Linked DNA regions of Drosophila melanogaster. Changing the gene in region 2 together with the main gene of any one other region gives a genetic interaction. Each region holds a gene or a part of one and is shown on either strand. Other genes may lie near its edges.

Evidence for each region.
Region 1: of gcm (region 2) and l(2)gd1, changing one suppresses a phenotype caused by changing the other (phenotypic suppression), as found in Drosophila melanogaster (one study listed by BioGRID).
Region 3: of gcm (region 2) and psq, changing one enhances a phenotype caused by changing the other (phenotypic enhancement), as found in Drosophila melanogaster (one study listed by BioGRID).
Region 4: of gcm (region 2) and hop, changing one suppresses a phenotype caused by changing the other (phenotypic suppression), as found in Drosophila melanogaster (one study listed by BioGRID).

What each region holds. Positions count from the first base shown.
Region 1 is NT_033779.5:11,104,914-11,111,376, reverse strand, and holds l(2)gd1 (lethal (2) giant discs 1), read right to left. Parts: upstream 4,435-6,463; 5' UTR 4,313-4,434; coding exon 4,256-4,312; intron 4,169-4,255; coding exon 2,570-4,168; intron 2,512-2,569; coding exon 2,080-2,511; intron 2,022-2,079; coding exon 1,870-2,021; intron 1,273-1,869; coding exon 1,128-1,272; intron 1,062-1,127; coding exon 942-1,061; 3' UTR 536-941; downstream 1-535. Other genes in the region: Idua (alpha-L-iduronidase), read left to right, coding at 1-397, 456-535; Reps (RALBP1 associated Eps domain containing), read left to right, coding at 5,164-5,310, 5,366-5,770, 5,853-6,172, 6,241-6,463. UniProt on the Drosophila melanogaster protein: Phosphatidyl inositol monophosphate binding protein involved in endosomal protein sorting through regulation of the endosomal sorting required for transport (ESCRT) pathway.
Region 2 is NT_033779.5:9,578,998-9,583,708, reverse strand, and holds gcm (glial cells missing), read left to right. Parts: upstream 1-1,963; 5' UTR 1,964-2,116; coding exon 2,117-2,514; intron 2,515-2,589; coding exon 2,590-3,706; 3' UTR 3,707-4,144; coding exon of another isoform or gene 4,145-4,198; 3' UTR 4,199-4,211; downstream 4,212-4,711. Other genes in the region: CG31709 (uncharacterized protein), read left to right, coding at 4,145-4,198, 4,262-4,616, 4,678-4,711. UniProt on the Drosophila melanogaster protein: Transcription factor that induces gliogenesis. It determines the choice between glial and neuronal fates. Also has a role in the differentiation of the plasmatocyte/macrophage lineage of hemocytes.
Region 3 is NT_033778.4:10,556,180-10,560,920, forward strand, and holds the start of psq (pipsqueak), read left to right. Parts: upstream 1-1,708; 5' UTR 1,709-2,197; exon of another isoform or gene 2,198-2,354; intron 2,355-4,741.
Region 4 is NC_004354.4:11,362,070-11,370,019, reverse strand, and holds the start of hop (hopscotch), read left to right. Parts: upstream 1-1,921; 5' UTR 1,922-2,557; coding exon 2,558-3,619; intron 3,620-3,889; coding exon 3,890-4,050; intron 4,051-4,780; coding exon 4,781-4,987; intron 4,988-5,216; coding exon 5,217-5,536; intron 5,537-5,596; coding exon 5,597-6,059; intron 6,060-6,173; coding exon 6,174-6,523; intron 6,524-6,591; coding exon 6,592-7,028; intron 7,029-7,533; coding exon 7,534-7,712; intron 7,713-7,784; coding exon 7,785-7,949; intron 7,950-7,950. Other genes in the region: Tim8, read right to left, coding at 1,140-1,316, 1,395-1,484. UniProt on the Drosophila melanogaster protein: Tyrosine kinase of the non-receptor type, phosphorylates the marelle protein. Required maternally for the establishment of the normal array of embryonic segments: involved in the control of pair-rule gene transcription in a stripe-specific manner.

The DNA.
Region 1 (6,463 bases), 1.5 Mb from region 2:
CCGGCTTATCCCAACGCCACTCTAAGGGAAGCGATGCGAAGAGCCCAAGCACCTAGACTCTACAAGACGGGACCCATCTGGCAGTACAACAGCGAGCTAGTTATCAACTCCGCCAGCATCCCACTGCCCTGGGCGATGCTGCTCCGGGTGTGTTCCGCATCTTGGCCCAAACTGCGACGACCGCAGCAACTTTCCATCGCAGAGGTGACTCAGCGTGAGGTGTTCATTAGCTGGATGGAACACCCCAAATCCACGCAGTGCCTTCTCAGCTACGAGGTGTGGTTTAAGGAACGCGATAATCTGGGTCGCTCCGCCGACTGGATGCTCATCTCACAGGGCTGGCATCTGCCATATCCGTCGTTTCAGTATGCGCCCGGCGATAAGGGATCCGTCAATGGTGAGCATAACCTGCAAAATTTCCATCTTTCATAACCGAAATCTTTTTTTGTCGGCAGGTTTCTATAAAGTTCGCGGTGTGGATGTGTTTAATGAAACCAGTCCCTACTCACAAATAGTCGAATATCTGGAGTTGTAGTTCAACAAACAGTTTATAAATCAAAAGAAAATATTTATGCAATGTGAAAGCTAACATAATCAGGTTTCGGCTAGGCGCTAGTGGACCGATCCTACTCTCAATCTGTCTCTCTTGGAATGGACTGACTTCACCGGCACAATCTTCTGGACTTGCGCCTTCGCCTTAACGCCGGCAATATCATATATACATATATTATTTATATATAAAGATATTTATAGTACATTATATGTGTTGTGTTCGTAATATATAAATGCCTTCTTCCTGCGAAGGAATCGGCAAAAGCGTACATACTTAGATAAATTGAATTTTCTGTGAGGGATATTTACAAACAAATAACTTAGTGACTTAATCGAGAACAATCGCAAGGGGACGCGTTCCTATTTTATTTAAATTTTCTTGTTTAGCCCTAGGCATCCAAGACCAACCACTTTTCGGTGATGTGCTCCATTTGCTTGGTGAGAATAGGATTGCGAACGCGTATCTTGACTTCCAATTTTCCACCTACTTGCTTGCGACCATCCATTAGCTGTTTTAAGGAATACATAGGTTAAATTTAAGTTTATATTATTTTATTATAGTAGTTATCACTTACATCATATGTGTCGTGTATCTCGCACTTGGTCTCCAATGGCTGCAGCTTGACATTTACGGTTCCGATCAACGTATCCGATCGCAGAAAACCTCTGAAACAACACAGGGGCAGTTTACGACTTAGTCCACAACAATCTATACTGCAGCTATTTATATTAAATGCGTAGCATTGGATGACATTTATTTTTTGTTTGAATTGTTGGGAATTGAGGCGTAAAAATTTGTAAAAATATTTCATTAAAATGTTCCTTGTGAGAATCAATCAAGAAGATCAATGGGTAGACACATACGGTGAAATATATGTGTGCTTGAAGCCGTGACTCGTACGATACTGTTTTACGGGACCAAAGGAACATGCTTACTACGGGAAAAATTTAATAATTCAAATTAAGAGCTGAAACTTAATATTAAGAGCAAATTAATACCCAAGCGAAACCTACAAATTGGATAAAAATATTTAGTAGGTATGCAGCTCAATCAACAGCTTTTTAAATTTTCGCAAAATGATCTATGCCAAATATTTTTTAAAATTATATATATATTTTTATTTAAGTCTTTAAGGCTATTTCAAAATGTAGAAGATTACTACTCATCGGATATTACTAAGTATTCCTTGGAAAATTAATACGCGTAAATAAGATCATATACCGCCTCCGTTAGTTGAGATTAATATGCATGGAAAGCTTCTTAGTACGGATTAAATAATTGTTCTAGCTCAGTTCTTTTATGTACGGGCAACTTACCCTCTAGAGTATATTTCAAACTTGACGCCATGCCGCTTAAAGATTCTCTGGAACTGACGATTGGTCCGCTGGATGTCAACCTTGAAGCGTTCATCGTAGTCAGGACTGCTGGTGTCTCTGATAACATTGGTTTTAGTCTTGAAAGATTCATCCTTAAAACGAAAACATATAAATAATTGGTGAAACTTTAAATGTTGGTAATTAGCTTACATTGAGCAGGGGAAACTCTACGCGCACATAAGTATCCACGTCCTTGGGATTGGCCACATTGTAGCTGATTCCCCGGACCACAACAATTTCAAGCTCACTGTCTGTGAGATCTGTGTTGCAATGCACAATGTTGAAGCTACGCTTTTCATAGTGAAACTTTGGCAGTGGTTCATTCTTTCGTTTCGAGTATCGCACCAAATCCAAATCCTTTTGCACAGTTAAGGCTAAATTTTCAAACCGATTCATGCCTGCTACATCTCCCATAGCTTTGTGATGATCTCGCGTATTTTTGCACATCATCAGTTGTTTTGCCAGCTGCTCCTCCATGCGAACACCAATTTCACAGATATCATCTGTCGGATCGCATTCCTCAGCAGATACAATGGCAAAGGAGGCTTCTAGATTATCCCTTTGTGAAGGCGGGACGGGAAGCTGAAAAAAAAAAATATATAGTTAGCCATACAAGAAGAAGATGTAATGCAAAACTTACAGTGCTGAGGTCCACTGGCAATCCACTACTCGCTGCATTAAGAAGGGAATCGAATCCCTTGAAGATCTTGAGGTACTCCTTCGCCTGATCTATTTCTCCCGCTTTTTTGGCCTCTATAGCAGCTAGCTTAAACTCCTTTTGGCGCTCGAGGAGCAGTTTCATTTGTTGCTCGGCAATATTATTCTTCTGCTGATTGCCAGACGTGCGTGTTGTTAACTCTTTGGGCTTAGGAGGTGAAGGTGCTTTTCGAGGAGCTGTAGGTGTCGTCGCACTGGAACTGGAGGGTGTTCCTCCTGCGGAAGTACTTGCTGTTGGCGGTGGAGATGTAGGCGAAGTGGGCAGCGACGGTGTCGGCGCGACAGGAGCAGCATCAGCCGTAGGCAGCGGTCCAAAACCTGGTGGCACAGGCAGCTCATCGTAAGGCACTGGTTTGCCTGCCTTGTACAACTTTATGGCATCTTCGTATTGCTTCACAATCCTTCCAAAGCGTCTTGCTTTTCCGCTATTGTTTTCTGCCTTGGCTGCCGCTTCTACAGATTGATATTTCTCTAAACGTTGCTGCAGAGCCTCCAACATATTTGTTGCAGCTGCTAGAACAGGAGCAGGAGCAACAGGTGTGGGTTCTGGGGCAGCAGTAGGTTCTGCGACAGCTTCTGCGGCTGCTTCTTCTTGCATTTTTTTAAGGAATTCAAGAAACTCAGCTGGTGGAGGGGGCATGTCACTCAAATCAACTTCCTGTCCGTCTTCACACATTTTTATAACTACGTCAAATTGCTTGACCACTTTGAGAAACTGAAGGGCAGTAGATATGTCACCACTGCGCTTAGATTGCAGTGCAGCAGCTTTGTAGTCCGTCTGGCGGCTGCGCATTTGCGTCACAAGAGGATTAGGGGGAGATGTGGGAGCCACAGATGTAGTGGGCTCCACGGGGGTGCCGGGGGTTGGTGGATCTGGAGCTGCACGACTAGGCACAGGCGGAGGGGAAGCAGGTGTGGAAGGAGCTGGTGACTCCTCTGCAGGCACTGGAGGAGCCTGCCCGCCAATTGGCTTTACACTGACTTCAGGTGGAATGTCATCCACGTTAATGGACTTGCCAGCCGCTGCCTGCCTGTGCAGATCTTTCAGAGTCTTAAGGCCTCTTCCAAATCGCCTTGCTTTGCCAGAATCGCCGGCAGTCTTGGCATTGGCCTCGGCCTGCTTGTACATTTCCAGGCGCTGTTTGATAATGCTTAATGTGTCCACAGTCGTCGTGGGCAGAAAGGTCTGGACGGGTTCCTCAGAGGCAGCTGGCGGTTGTGCGACAGGCTCCTCTTCCTCTGCCTCCTCTAGACCACCGATTCCGCTCAGCTCGCCAAGAAGATCCGGATCGCTTTCCAAATTGTCATCATCATCATCGTCGCTGACATCACGCAAGCTGTCGGCTATCATTTTGTCCAAATCACTGGCGGGTAACAGCTTTGCTTTGGGCTTGGGCTTTGGCTTGGCTCCTTCTCCGCCGGTTATGGCCGCAAGCTCTGCCTCCAAATCACTGTCACCCCCATCGTCCTCACCATATCCAGCGCTGGGATCAAAATCATCTGGGATTTCCGTAAGACCGAACTAAACACAAAAAACAAAAAAGACAGTCCAAACGATGAGTCATAATTAATAAATAGACGGATCTAGACTGTTTGTTTTTCCTCTCACCTGCGATAAATCGTGTTGCCTTCTTTTCGCTGGCTCTGGCTTCTTTCTGGAGAACATCCTTGATTGCACAGAGGCTGTTTATTAACTAAAATAAGTCTATAAAGACTTTCAAATCCTTTAAATTTTTGCGTCGCAACAGTTCAGCCGCAGACAACAATAACAGAGTGGGGATCACTGTGGTGCAACGAAAGGTGACGCAGGAAAGTCTTTGCGAATTGGTGACGTCAGTGGCACAGGGCTACAGGAAATTTGTTGACGGTTAAAAAAATATCGTTAAAAATAATGAAGAAATGATTTTTTCTTCATTCAGCAACATTAAATTTTATTATAGTTTAATCCATAATGAAATATAAATGAACATGGTAAGCCACCTTACAAAACATCAATCCTGCGGAACTAAACTTTTGCCGGTAACTAGGGCTGCGAAACGCTAACAGGTACAGGGCTGCCGCGCCAGCTGTCTAATCGAATCGATACCGCAACCTATCGATATCGAGAGCCAGCGCACACACAGTGCAAAAGAGTTTGCGAAAAAAAACCTGGACAAAAAGCCAAATTGATTGTGCGCCGAGCAGCTTGAGGCACTAGGTGTACCCTCGTCGACCAGTGCCGTGAATCCTCTAACCATCGTGGTTGTGGTGGCACCAAGAAGTTAGCGAAACCATCGTCCCCGCAGTTCTCCCAGCTTCCACCTCCTCCAACTCCGTCTTGGGGGCCAAAGGCAGAAAATCATCAGACTTCTGGTTGTGAGCAGCGCGGGGCAGCGGGGTCGGCACTGGCCTGCTGGGTTAAACGTGGAAGTAAACAAACGAATTGGATTCCGGGTCCAGGACGGACGAACGGGGCGTGGCTCGTTAACCAGCGGCTTGGTAAACGAAACCAGAGACGGCAACAAGTAGGCGACAGGCATGGACGTGTCCCTCACTGAGCCGGAGACGCGCTTCTACAGTGAGTTGTTCCAATGCTGCGACGTGGAGAAGACAGGCAAGGTGCCCATGCTTAAGGCCACCGAGCTCTTTCGCTCGGCGGACATCGCCAATGAGACCGTGATTGAGGTAGGTCCAATTTGTGTGATCGTGAGTGATTAATTATCTGGGTCTGGGCTTATAGATCACCGGTCTGGCGGGGATACCCTCCACGGCGCTACACATCTCGCGGACACAGTTCTACTCATGCCTGAAGCTAATCGCTGCTCATCAGGCGGCCATGCCCCTGCGCCAGGAGCTGATCTTGGCCACGTTTCCGCTTCCATTACCGCACTTTAGCTGGAAGGAGGCGGTTACAGCTCCGGTGGCTGTCGAAAATGGATTGACTGCCTTGCCACCGCCACCACCCACAGATCGCAGAAATTCACTGCGTCGTAACTCGCAGCAAGAGCAGCTGCAAGACACCTCTGATGTGCCCAGCACCGACTCCGAGGTTGAGCAAAACGAATCAGTGGACGATGCGACAGGCCATGGACGAGGTACGGATGGCTGTGGGGTCGTCAGCAGCAGCAGCCGCGAAAATGTCGGGGTTTGTACTTCTATCTTATCTTGTGACATTTGTAAATAAGCTTACCATTGACCGATCCCCGTCCATGCCTTATCTCTTTTAGCGACGACGAGGAGGCGGTACTGGTGGTGGATCGCCAGAAGCCTGGAGCACTAACAGTGACAGCCCCACGCCCACCAACAGCGTGGCTGAGCGGCCTTGGGCGCAGGACACCCTCTGGCAGGGTTTGCTGGGCGACGAGCATCGCCAGCTGCTAGGCACGGAGGAAGAGTCTTCCGATCGCCACAGCAGCGACGACGATGACAACGAGAGCGAATTGGTGACCATTTACCAGATAACCCCGGAACAGCGCGAGTACTATAATAAGCAGTTCAGGACGGTGCAAAGGGATCCGCATGGTCTGCTTTCGGGCCAAGCAGCAAGGTAAGTTGGCTTTAGGAACGTTTATAACTTTATTCTTCTTATTATTTTCTTATTCCTTTTTTTATTAGAAACTTTTTTGAAAAGAGCCGCATTCCTGTGGAGGAGCTACGTCACATTTGGCAGTTGTGTGACGTTACCCGCGATGGAGCGCTAAGTCTGTCTGAGTTTACGGCCGCCATGCATTTGGTGGTTCTACGGCGCAACAACATTCCCTTGCCCACAAGTCTGCCCCACTGTTTGCATCCCAACGTGCTACAAGCAGCTGCGTCCGGCAGTGGACAGGGGGTGACA
Region 2 (4,711 bases):
TGTTGTTGTATATAAGAGTTTGTACAATATATGTAAAATCCCTAAATGTAATCTTTTTCATTATTGAGTAGTCATAAAGTCTTGGCATTTAACGAACACATTATCCTACACTCGGTCAACAAATCTTTTGAGCACTCACTCACATATTGTGAATATCCATGGCCATATGTTTGGCAATCGTTATAATCCCTGGCCAAATCCCTTCCGACCAGAACAGACTATCTATATGCCAGGGGCGTAACTTCCCACGACACCGCCGACGGATAGGGTAGATGCCGAATTTACGATGACATTTATGCGTAATTTTTGGTCGAATTTTATAGCCGCAATTGGACTGAGTTTCATTGGGAAAGAAAAGAGTTCTGTTCTCCACTGGCCCCCGCAGAGAAAGTGTCAAATAAATTTGATTGCCAAGTGATGTCTCGTAATTGAAACGGAACAGTTAATTCCGGGCATCATTAAGGCGACACACCCACCTTGAGTGCGGGAATCTGGGACCAGGTAGGATGTGCTTCCCCAGCACAGCCTCATAATATGCCACGTCATGACTTTCTTCTGTGTCAACGCCCCTCGAGTCCCGGTCGGAGCACCCTTTCCCATTGTCCGCCGTAATCCTTTGAGTTCCTATCGCGTGCTACGATCCTGATCTTTGGGCGACTCCTTGGCAGAAAGGCGCCGCGGGTTGCTCGCTCAGTTCGTGTCATAATTGCATGGCATTTGGTCTGTCGTGGAAGTGTGAAAATTATGGAGTTTCCTCACCCTTTCGTCATCTTAATGATTATGTTTGTTTCGTTTATCTCTGACTTGAGATCGCCAAGGGGCCCAAGGAATTTGTTTGGCAAACTTTGCTTCATTCATATGCGTGAGTTATGGCATTTGCCTTTGGGTTTGTAGGGGAGGTTTTCCAATATGGGATTTCTTCTTTTTGATTTCCGTTTTTTTGCGTGCTAAATTGTGTTTTACGATTATGAGATCCCTGATTTCATCTTGAAGATATCGGCAGGAGCTCGACATTTCGGTTTCTTTTTTTGCAAACGTTTATTTCTTTATCGATTTTGAGATCGTGAGAAGTAGTTCCGTTAGCTATACCGTTGCCTTACCAAATTCTATAATAGTGACTATATATAGTGGTAATATTTCTATATTTCTGTGAGTCATTTCCATTAAAATTTACGTTTGATTTTGAAATTTTTTTACAGAATAATTTCTACCTCTGAAGTTAAGTAGATTTAGCAGCTTTAATGTCCGCATTAAAAAAGTCTTAAAGCCTTGAACTAAATTACTTTCCGTGCTTCGTTGGAACCATCTCCATTTTGTTCGTAACTCTGCTTGCCCTCCAACCATTTCACTTTGCTCCCCATTTCGACATCCACATCCAGTTCGAAAGTAAATAGGCCCGACCACTGGCATCTGCCAGTGACTGTCGCCAGGTGTACCCATCAGAACCCATGCCATACAGCACATCCCCATCCACACACAGCCCCATCCCCATCTCCATTTCCATTACTGATGTTGTAAACTTTTTTTCTGAACTTAATTAGCTTTGACTGGGGTTGGGGCCGTGTTCTTTGCCATCGAGTGCCTCAAACCCCTGGTTCTCATATCGTACAATTACCCAGTGGAGCGCGTGCTGCAACCGCAGGTGCTAGAGCAGCACAGCACTCGTCTCCCTGCCCAGTTGCCAGTTCCCAGCTCCCAGCTCCCTGTGCTCAAGCTCTCCCAGCTCCCAGTTCCCTATAGAACGAATTCTCCATCTCCAGCTGCTGCTACCACTACTACCAATCAAACCTGCTCGGGAACTCTCCTAATTTCCCAAACTGGAGTGCCGGATAAGGCGGATAAGCCGCACACAAGCGCACCCGAACTGGAAGTCAGCATGGACCAATGGGCGTACCGCTTTGCGACCGAGCAACCCTCGTGCGATTCGACCGCTGGCAACTTAACTGTGCTGCGCAGAGCGGGCCCAGTTAGTCAGCCTTGCGCAGTCGATGCGAACGGACGCGTCGCTCCAGAGAAAAGTTGAGAAGAAGTACACAGTAGTAATAGACTATTGAGAAGGAAAACTATAGTGACCGCGTGTGAACTTGAAACTAACGATTACATAGACACATCAAAAATGGTTTTGAACGGCATGCCTATAACAATGCCAGTACCGATGCCAGTGCCCATGCCTGTGCCCAGTCCTCCGGCCACCAAGTCCCGGGTGGCGATCGACTGGGACATCAACGATTCCAAGATGCCGTCGGTGGGGGAGTTTGACGATTTCAATGACTGGTCCAACGGACATTGCCGGCTCATCTACTCCGTGCAGAGTGATGAGGCCAGGAAACATGCCAGCGGTTGGGCCATGCGAAACACCAACAACCACAACGTGAATATCCTAAAGAAGAGCTGCCTGGGAGTGCTCCTCTGCAGTGCCAAGTGCAAGTTGCCCAATGGAGCCAGTGTGCATCTGAGACCCGCCATTTGCGACAAGGCCAGAAGGAAGCAGCAGGGCAAACAGTGTCCCAATAGGTGGGTTTTTGACTAAACACAAAATCCAAGAATTGTCAAAACTAACTCGGTATTTTTATTTTTTTTTCTTGACAGAAATTGCAATGGTCGCTTGGAAATCCAGGCTTGCCGCGGCCACTGCGGCTATCCAGTGACCCACTTCTGGCGCAGGGACGGAAATGGAATCTATTTCCAGGCCAAGGGCACCCACGATCACCCCAGACCCGAAGCCAAGGGATCCACGGAAGCCAGGCGACTTTTGGCAGGAGGAAGACGTGTGCGAAGTTTGGCCGTAATGTTGGCCAGGGAATCGGCGCTGAGCGACAAGCTGAGTAGCCTGAGACCCACAAAACGGCAGGCCAAGACTCAGTCCATCCAGGAGAGCAAGCGCAGAAGGATGGGTGCTTCCGATGTGCTCGAAACCAAGCAGGAGTTAGTGGTGCCACCCACCACCTACCTGCCCACATCGACGCCCACACATAGCACCAACTTTAATCAATCTCAGGGTTCATATGTCCCAGCAGGACAAGGATCAGTGATCAGTCAGTGGAATAGAGAGATTCACTACGAAACGGAGGATCCATGCTATGCCAATGGAATGTACTCCTACGATATGCTCCACTCACCTCTCTCAGCGCATAGCTCCACGGGCAGTTATTACCAGGAGAACAAACCGCAGCAACTGCAGCACTCACAATACCAGCAGCAACTCTCACCGCAGCAACATGTACCAGTCAGCTATGATCCCAGCCAGCCAATCTCCTCCAGCCTTCAGTGCGGAATGCCTTCGTATGAAATATGCGACGATACGTCCAGTTTGACCAGCAGCTCGGGCTACTGTTCCGAGGATTATGGCTACTACAATGGATATCTACCCAACTCGCTGGACGTGAGCAATGGAAGCCAAAGCCAGAATCTTAGCCAGGATGCAAGTTTCTACACAACCAGCTCGGAGATCTTCAGTGTGTTTGAGTCAACTCTGAATGGCGGAGGGACCAGTGGCGTGGATCTCATCTACGACGAAGCAACCGCCTATCAGCAACATCAGCAACAGGGAACTTTTCCGCATCTCACCAATTATCAACAGGAGCCGCAGGATCAGATGCAGTCCGCCGACTACTACTACAGCAATACGGGAGTGGACAACTCGTGGAACATTCAAATGGACGCGACATATCACCCAGTCAACAGCACGGATCCCATCTATTGCTAGGGGATCGGGATAAGATCTCTCATCGCAACTACTATTACTGAGCCACTCAAGCGTTGTTCTAGTCCCTAGTTGATTGATTTCCATTCATGTTCCCATTGCTTGTTGGTCGTGTATTATTATATATTGAACGTTTCTAGTTTGTACTTTTGTACTTGTTTCCCAGCTATTCCAAAGTTTTAGAGCACGTAAGAGTAATAGTATTCTTAAGCACATAGAGTTTTAAGTCACATTTCCCACCTATTTATGAACTTTTTTGTAGTAATAAACATTTTTGAAAGAAAAACTTAATCGAAGCAGCCTTTTTTTGAGAATTGACACGTGTCAAGCAAGGGAGCTCGTAATCATTGTCAGTATAACATTACCAGCGGCAGGATATACAACTAGGGATTTTCCTCAACAACAAGTTTAAATTCGTTAGTCAACCAAAATCGTGTAACAATGGGTGCTTGTCGCCCTAGAAAATGTAGTGCAAATAACCGAACTATGGCAATTGTGAGTACTAAATAAAGGCCTAAACAAATAACAATGAATAAAACCAAATTTTGTATTGAGAAGCGTCGCCGTAGAGCTCTAGTTAACTTGCTATTTTTGCGCCGTCATTTGATTGGACAGGCACTTGGAATTACGAATCGGGAAACTCCAGACCTTAGGGTAAAATCGCGGCGACGCAATCGTAGAAGGAGAATGCAATTCAGAGTCCGTACACCAAGTGATAATGCAATGCGCTCAGTAAGGCATCATGGACAGAATCCAATCAGCCCAGGATCACGGCTACAACGAAATAATCCACTTTGGGGACACGCCGACATTATAACCACAGATAGAGCGTTGGAAGCTTTAAATGGACTTACTACAGGGAACAGGGAACCAAATGCATTGTCAGTAATGGTGCGATATACCAATGGGCGGTGTAAGTTGAGCTGTACTTATTGCTAATACAATGAAGTGCATAATTAATACTCTCTTATTAGATTATTTAAGCTTAGAGCCAAGTGGAAATCAGCA
Region 3 (4,741 bases), on a different chromosome or scaffold from region 2:
ATGATTCAGCCTCGTGACACGAAAAGTTCCACCCGCCACTCAATCCGCAGTGCAAGTAACTAAGCAAATGCGATATGTGTGTGCTTAAATGCATATAGCATGTTTATGGGTCTGCCGAATGGGGTTTTTCGAATGGAGTAGGGTGCGTTTGTGGGTTTTGTGGCGGGGGGAAAGGGGGGATGGGTATTTCGGTGGCCTATGTGCGCCTATAATTATAAGGCATATACACTATATACATATGTACATGGGCATAGCATAGCTGCGTGTTTTTCGTCGGGTAAATAGGTGCACACGTCAATTGCTGGAACGACCTCAATGGGTTCCCACTTCCAGGCCCCCCCTTCCACGGCCCACATTCGTTTGATTTTTCCGCACTGGAAAGTGGGAAAACCGGAGCAATTATTTCCCGATCCGATCATGCTACAATTATGTATGTTTAATTTTTTTTTTTTGCTGCTGATGTTGTGTTTCACTATTCACCATTCCATTGCCGTGGAGCTAGAACATGCAATTATTTTAATGTATTCGGCCTTGGGACTCATGAATGTCAATTGGCACGTAAGTTCTCCATTAGCTATTAGCTTTTACCCGCGGCTCCACGCATCCAAATGCAAATCTCTATATGTATATATAGATATGTACCTAAATGTGTACATACAAACTCATATGGTTTACGCTGCAAATCAGTCGTTTTGTATGCTAGCTTCGTTTTTTTTATGGTTTTTTATGGGGGCTAGGCGACTCCCACCCACTCGCACATATTTATACAAATTGAGACAGCGGAAAAAGTGCAACTCATTTGAATGGTTTCGCCTTCATTATGCAAATACGAGCACTGTTGGTGGCGAATATTTATTTGCTCATTATAAATACATAGAGTTTCTGGCATTTTAGCAATCATGACTTGCACGCACACGAGCATTAAACGAGTTTCTAAAATTCAGTGTAATGATCGAGTTTTATGGGACTATTGCATTCGAATTTGAACTGAGTGGGCGCCAACATATCGATAATATATAATGACAGTCGATATTTTCATAGCAACCAGCTTTCGCTGGGCTCGCTGCGCAACTAGGTGGCAGCTCTGAAATGTATATTACATGTAAGAAATCCTTTTACAAACTCAATAAATAATAATAAATGCTTGAAATAAATGTATATTTCAATACTTCTAAAGCATTTTATATATTATGTTTTTATTGGTATTACGGAAAACCTCCAACTTTCAATTTTAAAGCATTATATTTATAAATAAAATAATTCTACAAGCAAAAAAACTCATTTAATCCTGGAAGCACTTATGGATTTCACATTATAAAAGAACTGATTAAATGTATGAAGATACATCATTTTATTAACGTACATTTTGTAATATTTAATTTTTTGAATTTTCAGTTTCTGCGCGCCCATATCAAAGTCCGTAGCAAAAAAATCAATATAGGAAATGCAATAGGTGCAAGCGGGACGACCAGCTGAATCGAGCGGCGAAGCAAAGAAGACCCGATAAGGCGATGCCACCTAGTTAGAAACTAATAAGTAGTTGCATAAATAATACAGTTTTTTACACAATAGAAAATCCAAATGAGTTCTCACTCAATTTTAAAGCAAGTTATCTACTATTTGGAAACACTACCCAAGTAGTTTTCAGCCTTTGAGCACCTTTTGCTACATTTTAGCACCTTGCGGCGATCTGGCAGCGCCACACGAAAATGGCGAACACGAGCACTCCGATGAACGACGAGCTGAAAAAATAATTATTATTTTAAATTCCGTTTTGCCAGCGAAATTCGGTGCGTGCGCGAAAAAGAGTGCGGAAAAGCGCGGTTGAGAAATTTAATCGGCCCATTATGAAGCGGTCAAAGTGCGGCGCCAATGCAAATGGTTAGCCAAATGGCAAGAAATATGTAGCGATAGCGTGCCAGCCCAGTAAAATCAAATAGAATCAAATTTAAGTTTCTTGCTTTGCGAATTATGAAAAACCAATCGCAATGCGTGTGTGTGTGTGTACGTGTGGTGCGTGCGCGCGTGTGTTAGTGAGCGAGCGTAGAAGCAGAAGGCGTAGCGAGAAATAAAAATAAAAAACCATACAATAATTGATTTAAAAAAAAGAAAAGCAAAAAGGCCAACAAACGAAAAACAGCAGAAGCAACAAAAACACACGACAAGCGGCAGCAAAAACAACAACACAAAACTGGCGGTAAATACGCATACAGTACGATACAAAAAAATAAACTAGAAGCAACAACAAATACGCAACGTAACGGGAACTCTTTGACGTATTTCCTCTATTATTATGCAAAAAGGCAGGCGGCAAATTGCAGCAGCAGCGAAAATCAAATATAAATAGCGAAAAGGTAAGGACAGAGGCCCCACAAACTAAACTAAAAATAAGAGCCGAACATATTTGTTGTTTGCAGAGTGCAGTAAAATGGGTGCAAATAAATGGGCAAAAGAAAGAAGCAACAAAATACTGCAAACCTTTCAATTGGCTTCAATTGGCAAATGTAATTGTTCAGCATTACATTTGCATTACACCGCTCACCAACTCTTGCTCCCTCTCACTCTCTCTCTCACTGTGTTCTCCGCTTTTGCGCTCCCTTTGCCCCTTTTACTTTGCAAAGTTTTGCGACGAACAAGAACAATAATAATCAAAACAAAAATGTTTAAAATCCATTTTCTTTCGCCTCTCCTTCACCCACTCACTCATTTCGTAGCGCGCTGTCATTTGTCTTGCGCCTTTGCCTCCCCCCCTCTTCTTCTTCTTCTTCTACTTTACGTTGTCCCCTTCTTCTCTCTCTCCCCGCAACATTGCCGTCTCGCTCGCTCGCATGCACACCATGCACGGGTGAAGAGGAGACGTAACGAAAACGAAGTTGGTTTGCCTGGAATGCCACAGTGGGTACAAAAGGGTTTGATAGTGGTCACAGTCGACACAGTGGGGTGGGTATTTCATTATTCTGCAACAGAAACTCTTGTTATTCTTATTAAGTCAAGCAAAACTAGCAAAAATAAACATTTCTAGCCGGCTAAAAAAAAACTCAAAATCCAATCCAAAATCCAATAAATATTTAGTACAAAGTGCAAGATTGCTAATAAAATAAACCAAAAGTATAGCACTTACTTTTTGTAGGAGATGAAGGTTGTTAAAAGCATTCATATATAATTAATACGAATAAATTTATTTTATTTAAGTTCTAAATTATACGTACTTATCATTTTATATAAAGATTTACATTGCCTTATGCAGTGATGTTACAATCATCAATGTAGATCTTATAAGAATCAATAGGCCGTCCGTAGGTCGGGTAGGGTGTAGAAACATAAAGTGCAGTGAGGAAATATTAAAGGGCAAGAAAAAGTGAAAAAGCAATAGCACAAACATACAAAAAACACGAACACACATTATCCATTTGCCAAATAAACATGCACAAAGTAAGAGAAAGACGGGGAAAATGCAGAAGAAGAGGCTCCAAAAGGCGGCAAATCGCTGCATGTGTGTGTGTGAGCGAGAAGGCAACAATGGGACGAACAATATAAAAAAAAAAAAACGTGGAATTGGTCTAGTAATGTAAGAAGAAGAGCAGTAACAACGCGGACGAACGGACCGCATAATGCGCGTTTAATGATAAGTCTCTCTGTCCGAAACGAAGAGAGAGACATGGAGAGAGCGCGGCTGAGAGGCCCGCCGATTTTCGAGTGGGTGGCAACACCTAGTCTTCCTCTTTCTTTCACACCTTTTCTTGCCGCCGTTTTGTTTTGATTGCGAGTCTTCTGCGAAATGAAATGCAAATACAGTGGAGCAGCCTTAAGCTCGTAAACTTTTACATATACAATAAATGCAAATAATTTAAAATAAAACAAGTTTGGAAAATGCAACTATAAATTTTCTTATTATTTTTCTTAATTTGACTTCGAAATTTGTAAACAAAGATAGATTTCGAATAAATCAAATCAAAAACATCTCTTTGAGTATCCACTGTGGCAACTGTAACTTTGTAATAAAGAAATCCCTTGAAAATCTGACTTATTGTTCGGCATAAAATTGTGGTTGCATTTTAGCCTCCGCATTGGAAGTTGCAAGCAAAAGTTGGCATCTCCTCTCTGTCCGCCTCTTCGTCGCTCCATTGCCTCCCATTTTATTTGCACGGCAAGTTGCCTCCTCGAGCATCCTTTCAGCATTCCTATTATTCTTTTTTATGTTCCTTCCTTTTTTTTTTTGACAATGCCCCAACTAGCAAAAACAACTTGCAGGCACCAATACGTGCCATTGAAAACGAGAAAGGGAATTTAATCCGAAAAACACTGATTTCAGATACTCTAACTGCTACTTGGGGATTTTGTTTGAATGTTAATTAATTTAAAAACTAGTAGTAAATGGAAAAATGTAGTGTAAAAAGAGCGTTTTATTTGAAAATACCATTTATTTTGTTGTAAACATGTGACCATACTATGATACCCTTTTAAAAGGGCATACAAAAATGAAGTTTCACTGAAAACTGGTTTCAGTTTCGGTTTTCTTCCTTCTGGCCTGGCCCAACATTTTACATGAAAATGTGCAAAACAAAACCATTCCGGCGGTGCTAAAAACCACGCGACATGACCAGCACTAAATAAAGTTAAAATAGTAACTATTCGTTGAGCTCATAAGCTTTAAAAAAAAAGGTAACTTATGTTCGAAAATAAAACAAAATAAATTAGCTTGAATGGAATGTTCATTCATATACAAGTAATTTTGATTCTC
Region 4 (7,950 bases), on a different chromosome or scaffold from region 2:
CCACCACACAGAGACACAAAAAAAAACTAAAAGGTGCACCGTTAAAAAAGTTTAATGTCCCTTTTTTAGTCCTGCAGGCAAATCAAGGTAACTTTTCATGCTTCTCTTCACTTGATCCTTTTTCACGCTTTTCGCTTCTCCTTCTGAACTTCTACACTTCACAGAAACCGACACCGACTGTATATTTTGCTATGTATATTATACACGGACACACACTCACTGGCAAAAAGGACATGCGTTTGGCACAGCCTTCGGGCATTTTATGTTTAATATAAATAAGTAGCGGCAGCACGTTGGAGAATATATATTACGGTTTTCTGCTCTGCTCACGGGAACACTAGTTCTAGTTGGGATCAGTGTGACCAGAGGCGCGCTGCGTGTGCAGCCCAATCAGAAGTCCTGGGCAAACGTTCAAAGCGAGCGCGGGAAATAGGTCCGCAAGCATTGCAAGTATTACCTTTGGATTTAGCAGAAATGCATTAATATTACATTTAGTATTACATTTTATACAGGAAATGGCAGCTACATTTGTGTGTTCAAAGTTGCGTAAATATGAATTCCAATTGGAAAGTTGCCGATAGGTACTTATCGAGTGGAAGCACTATACTATCGATATGGAATAACTTTATTTATTCTAATAAACATTTAAGGAACACCTACTATTTCATTCTAAGCCCCTTTCCAGCCTAATTAAATTTAAATGTATGTTGAAATGATCCAATTTCAATTCTATTTTCCTTTCTGCATAATATTAAGCCATCTATCAACAATATTTCATCATTATAAAAGAAGAGATTAAAACTATCCAAGCAAAGGATTACAACACAATGCATTTTAAACGTACGAAACGAAAGATGTATTTATTTTCGGTACGCTAACGTAGGGCCGACCAAACAATTGAGTTGCGCTACCGAATTAAATATTAATTCCGGAACTCGAATCACGGATTTCAATTTCGGGCTGGGTGCAGACTACGGGCCACATACTTTGGATGTCGGCGGCGAAACGCAGCGCGGAAAAAAATGTGCTTACATGATAATTTTTTGTTTAAAAATAGATTTAACAGTAGGACAGTGACGGAAGCGTCCACGGACTCGGATACCCAGATCCCGGTGTCGGTGTCGATTAAGCGAACAAATCTACAGGTCGCCGCCACCTCGCTTTTGGAGCATCTGAGCGAACCGCTGGGTGATAAGCAGCGACGTGTCGATGAATCGGTCGACGCAGTTGCTCAGGCACGTCTCGGTGGCGTGGTCCAGCTTGGTACTCGGCTTGCCGATGCACTTCTCCCAGCAGATCTCGTTGAACTCGTGTATCTGGCGACGATATAATGTGCGAGGGCATATTGTTATGATTACGAATGGTTATTATGTGTATGGGGGAACCCGGCTCACCTGCGCGTTGACCTGTGCCTTCTGTTTCTCAATCAAGAGGAACTCCTGCAGCTCCTTGTCATTGCCGGAAAGGTTCTCAAAATCGGACATCGTGTGATTTTCAGTGAGCAATCTACAAATTGACCGGGCTCGTCCGGAATTTCATATATTCTAAGGTTTGAGGTTATATAAACGACACTGACAGCTGTGAACTGTGGAATTACAAAAATCGATGTGTATTCGATAGCAAAGCTATTCGATACTGGAAATGCCGTGCATATTGCACTGTTTGCACTGTTGTCATATTTAAATGGCAAGAATATAGACGCCATAGAGCAAATAACAGTATATTTTTTTTTCTTAAGCATCCTCCTCCTGCCAACGAGGGTATACAATTTTCAAGAATACATTTCTAAAGTAAGTTGTTATTTATATTTACTGAGAACTATCGAAAAAGAACTAGAACCTCGCGTTGCCAACCACTGGTTCGCAAGGTGCGATAGTACAGGTTATTGGACAATCGATGACAAAGTGGCTCGGCCGTCGGCCAATCGATATCGTGAGGTGCAAATTGTCCGATGAATTTCACTGAAATTCGTGGCTTGTATTGTAGCTTCGCAATTGCAGCTTCGTTTCGACAGCAGGCCCACTTTCAGATCGAAGGCGTCTATAATCGCCATCCAGTCCCGTCGCCCTGTTCCCACAACGCCCCACAAATTTCGGGATCTAGCTGGCGTTTCGGGTGTCTAATTTCGGACCAGTGCACTGTGATTTCCGATTTCCAGTTTACTTTGCTGACGGATCGCCCAAGTGGCGAAGTGGTTCTTGCTCGGAAAGTTGGCGCTTGCTAAAAGAAGGAGCAGTCCAGGTGGTTCCCCGCCAGTGGCATCAATGGAACTCGCGCTGGAGTTTGGGGCAACCTTGCAACTGCAAGGGTAAGAGCATCGCCGATTCCAGGAGCATTCGCAGTAAGCCCAAAAATAGCAACTCAAGTCAGTCGCGGTGGTCATTGTTATTGGCAAGAAGAAGAGGAAACGGATAGAACGCGGCAAATTCCTAGGAAAGCTCCCATGATCTAGCTTCAGTGCGGCCGCGTAAGGAAACTGCTCCAGCCAAGGAACTGGGCTTGCAGGAGCAGCAGATAGCACCCAGCCCACAAGGGACCACTCACCGACAATCCTCTCATGGCCCTGGCCAACGGGGGAGAGGATAGAATGGACGACAGCAGCAGCGGACGCACTTCGCTGGCGGACAGCGCCAGCCTGACGAACTCCTCGCTGCGCAGCGGCACCTCCTCGCAGAGCATCCACACCAACGATGGCACAATCCGTGTGTTCAACTTCACCACCGGCGAATTTGAGCGTTTCCATCCCAACATGCTGTGCGAGGAGATCTGCAATACGATGTGCCGCCAGCTGGGCATTGCACCAATTGCCCAGCTGCTCTACGGAATACGGGAGCACTCGACATCGCGACGTCCCTCGCCGCTGGTGCGTTTGGATCTGACGTGGTGCCTGCCCGGCGAGCGACTCAACTGCCAGCTGGTCTATTGCTTTCGGATGCGTTTCCGTGTGCCCGAATTGGATAGCCAGCTGGAGTTGATCGATGGACGGAGCCACAAGTTCCTCTACCGCCAAATGCGCTACGATATGCGGACCGAGCAAATCCCGGAGATTCGCTATCCGGAGCACAAGGACAAATCAACGGGACTGGCCGTGATGGATATGCTAATCGACGATCAGGAACAGTCGGAGGATCAGCAGGCGATGCGCTCCATCGAGAAGCTTTACAAACTGTATTTGCCACCGAGCTTGTGGCGCGCCCACAGCTTCTTTGTGGGCTCCAAGATACGTGAGGTTTTCCGCAGTCTAAAAGCGAATTCGCTGAGTGTGGAGCGTTTGAAGTGGCACTATGTGCATCAGGTATCCCATTTGGCGCCCACCTATATGACCGAACAGTTCACCTGCACCGTTCAGTATCTGCCCAACGAGGAGGTGGCCCGCGGTAGCGGACCCATCGGCACCAGTCTGGCCCACTCGACGTCGACGCTGGCCAGTTCTGGATCGACCAACACTCTGTCCACGCTCACCACCAACACCAATTCCGTTGCACTCGGCGGCAGTGGCAAGAAGGCCAAACGACGTTCCACCAGCGGTGGAATCGATGTCTATGTGCGAGTCTTTCCACACGATTCCCTGGAGCCTGGACTCAAGGTGGCCAGGGTCACCTCCGAGGCCACACTCAAGGTACACACTATGTTTCCTTCTGAAATCTTATATGGTTTCTTGTGGTTTTCCCATCGAAATGCGCATTTTAATGCTGGCCATTTTAAATATGGAAATACCATTAATATTATAATATTTAAAAAACATTTTGATAGATTTCTCAATTTAATTAACGCGATTGTCTTGGTAATCAAGTTGCTTATCGCTGGCAAAGATTCTTGAAATATTCATACATACATACCATATGTAATTGCACTAGCATCCCATTGATAATCCTCATTTCCTCTGCAGTGGATCCTTGTTGGCGCCGTGGAAGGAATTTTTATGATCTCCAAAATCAACGACACCTCTGTGCGGCTGGAAATCGTTGGTCTGCCCAAGGGCTACGAGATGCAGTTTCAGACGGAGAAGGAGATGAAGTCCTTCATCTCCTACCTGGGTATCTACATCAGGTGAGTGGTTCACTTGTAATCGGTGAGCTTTAGATCCCAAAGAGTTCGCTTCCAACTAAATTTTAATCTTTTAAGCCGAACTTGCTTGGTCTTTTTTTCACCAGAATTTATAGGCATCTCATTGTAGTGTTCGTGTAACAATAATCAGTGCCCAATGTTCTTAATCAAACTACTCAATTGTTTTTTTTAACATCCATTGATTTAAAAAAAAAAACATCAAGTCATCAATTCCACGAACTCATTTAATAACATAATAATTCCACTTAAAAGTTAATGATTCCCACATAAATATGACATTTGATAACACGATTAAATACAGTGCTTGAAATGCTTGCTTTTTTGTTTAAAGAGTTTGTTAAAACCAAGTCCCTGTTTGTTTTGTAATCCAACACACAAAGTCGGTTTTCGTTATCAGGCTAAAATTAAAACAAGCAAGAAATTTAAAACTAAATGCTTTCAGAAGATTTCTTCAGTTAAATTGATTAAATAATTACGCACTAATCGGTTTTAAATGTTACATTGCTATTTATATCGCCTGCGTCAATGTGCAGTACTTCTCAATAACTCAATAAAGTTATATGTACGTAATTGAAACAATTGATTCCCAGCTATAGAATCACTTTTCAAATGCAATAATAATAATAATAATAATAATAATAACAATGCCAATGGACAGCAACAAATGTGCGCAACTTATAACTCGTATTTGCCATCCGTTTATTCCTTGCAGATTGTCGAGCAAATGGATGCAGGATCTGTGCCATTCGTACCGCACGCCCTCCCTGGAGGAGCTGAGCTCCCTCCACTGCCATGGTCCAATCGGCGGTGCCTACTCGCTGATGAAGCTGCACGAGAACGGTGACAAGTGCGGCAGCTATATTGTGCGTGAATGCGATCGAGAATACAACATATACTACATCGATATCAACACCAAAATGTGAGTACATGCGCGCCTTCACACAGTTATCAGTTACTTCCTCCTCGCTGGTTATCAGGCTTACAAACATTTCTGTATGCAATGCCACATGATACACAAAAATGCTGTGTGCGCTATGTGGCCAATTGTTTCGCTTACTGATGATTGCCTGTGTGTGTGTGTGATTGATGATGCCCAAATTAGATGTGATCGGTTTTATCTCATGCGAAAATCCCGCTCACCTTTGCAGCATGGCCAAGAAAACCGATCAGGAACGCTGCAAGACGGAGACATTTAGGATCGTGCGCAAGGACTCGCAATGGAAGCTAAGCTACAACAACGGCGAGCATGTACTAAACTCACTGCACGAAGTGGCGCACATCATTCAAGCGGATAGTCCCGATCGCTATCGCATACCCGCCTCCAAATATGACAAGCCGCCGCTGCTGCTACTGCTGCTGCCAAAGAACCTCAAGGCCAAAAAGACTGACCTCCAGCTGAGCGAGGCGGAGCTGCAGCGCCGCAATCCGCAGATCTTCAATCCCCGAACGGATCTGCAGTGGTATCCAGGTGGGTCATACTATATATTCTAATGCCTTGCTTCGTTCTAATCGCTCGTCTTTTGCGCAGATTCGATATCGCTTAGCGACGATGGCATGATGTTTACGATGCGCGGCGATTGGATCCAACAGAGTCCCGTCAAGGATGTGTCCGTGACGATGAAAATGCTAAAGAGCGATGGCAATTTCATGGAGTTCTTTCGCTTGGCACAGACCTGGAGCCTCATCCAGTCGCCGCAGTTCCTCAAGCTGTACGGCCTAACGCTCGCCGATCCGTACACAATGGTCATGGAGTATTCGCGGTATGGTCCGCTCAATAAGTTCCTGCACTCGATGCCCAATGTAACACTGCATTGTCTACTGGATCTGATGCATGGATTGGTGCGCGGCATGCACTATTTGGAGGACAACAAGATTATCCACAATTACATACGATGCAGTAATCTGTACGTGACCAAGTACGATCCGAATTCGTACGTGCTAGACGCGAAAATTAGCGATCCCGGCTATCCGCGTCCCTACCGAGAATCCGAGTGAGTAGCCGACAAATACAACTTAATCATCTTCTCGGTTGGGTCATACTCTTTGATAAAACAAAAAAAAAGCAAACAGCATTTTAAATAACATCATTCATTCTCCACTTTCAGCTCGCCATGGATACCTGTTAAGTATTATCGCAATTTGCAAGCAGCCAAAACGGATCAGTTTGCCCAGCTGTGGGCCTTCGCTACCACCATATACGAGATCTTCTCGCGCTGCAAGGAAGATCTGAGCACACTGCGCCAGGAGCAGCTACTCAGGCAGAAAAATCTCGATGGCAACATACTCAAGATGCTCGATCAGGACATCTGTCCGGCGCCGATATTCGAGACAATCATGGATGGATGGTCCGATGATGAGACCAAGCGCTTCAGTCACCACGACATTTTCTCGCGTCTCAACACGATCAAGGCGGAAATTCTGCCCAATTATATGCCGCCACCCGAGATCGCAACGAGTAAGTTGAGCAGACGAAAGCAGCGTTACGAGATTGGCATACATTTCATCTTCTATTTTTTTTTCCAGATGGAACTGGAGACGAGACCGTGATCGATAGAAGCGACATACCCTTTCTACCCTTTCCGCGTTCGAATATGTTGATGGTCATACCGCTGACCAGCGAATGTCGAGTGATCTACAACATGGAGAACATGATCGGGCGCGGTCATTATGGCACTGTCTACAAGGGTCATCTGGAGTTCAACGACAAGGATCAGCCGCGCGAGCAGGTTGCCATCAAGATGCTGAACACCATGCAGGTGTCGACCGATTTTCATCGCGAGATCGGCATCATGCGCACCCTCAGTCATCCGAACATAGTCAAGTTCAAGTATTGGGCTGAGAAGTCGCACTGCATCATTATGGAATATCTGCAATCTGGTTCCTTCGACATTTACCTGCGTTTCACGGCACCCAATCTCAATAATCCACGGCTCGTCAGCTTCGCTTTAGATATTGCAAATGTGAGTGGTTCGAATATGGCTTTAGAACGGAACAAGTTTTCCGGAAAAAAGAGGGAAAACTCAAAGAAAAATCTACAAATATTTTAAGGGTTTTTGCATCATAACTTGGCCAAAAGTGGTCAAATTTCGAAGGGAATGACTGTTTTTAAAAGCTTATGATCCCAATTAACAAATCCTATTTCTTTTTTTTTGAATTTGGTGGATTCAAAATTTTTCCATTTTTTTGAATTTTTTACAAGGGGTAACATCATCAAAATTTGCAAAAAATGGCAAAAAATTAAAAGTTCCCATTTTGAACCCCAATCGATTGGGAATTAAATTACGAGCCAAACGAGGTATAACAATCCATATTTGGGCTACTACTACCCAAGATGTGGCCAAAAAACTGCCCATTTTGGACAAAAAACCACAAAAAAGAACTTTGGTATAGAAAACTCATGTTTACGACTTTAGAAGAGATATTTCCTTTTGATCCAGTACTTAATCCAAATGCTTCTCGTCGCAGGGCATGAAATACTTGTCCGACATGGGACTCATCCACCGCGACCTGGCCGCCCGCAACATTTTGGTGGACCACAACGGCGATGGTGACTGCGTCAAAATCTCAGACTTCGGCCTGGCGCAATTCGCCAATTCCGATGGATATTACTATGCGAAAAGCAAGCGTGATATTCCCATTAGATGGTAAGAAAAAAAGAAGATGGATTGACGGTAGGCCACTATCGCAACTGAATATCTTTGCTTTCCATTGGTCAGGTACTCTCCGGAGGCCATCTCCACCTGCAGATTCTCATCGTATTCGGATGTTTGGAGCTATGGCGTGACGCTCTTCGAAATGTTTTCGCGCGGCGAGGAGCCCAATTTGGTGCCGATCCAGACATCGCAGGAGGATTTCCTCAATCGCCTTCAGAGCGGCGAACGG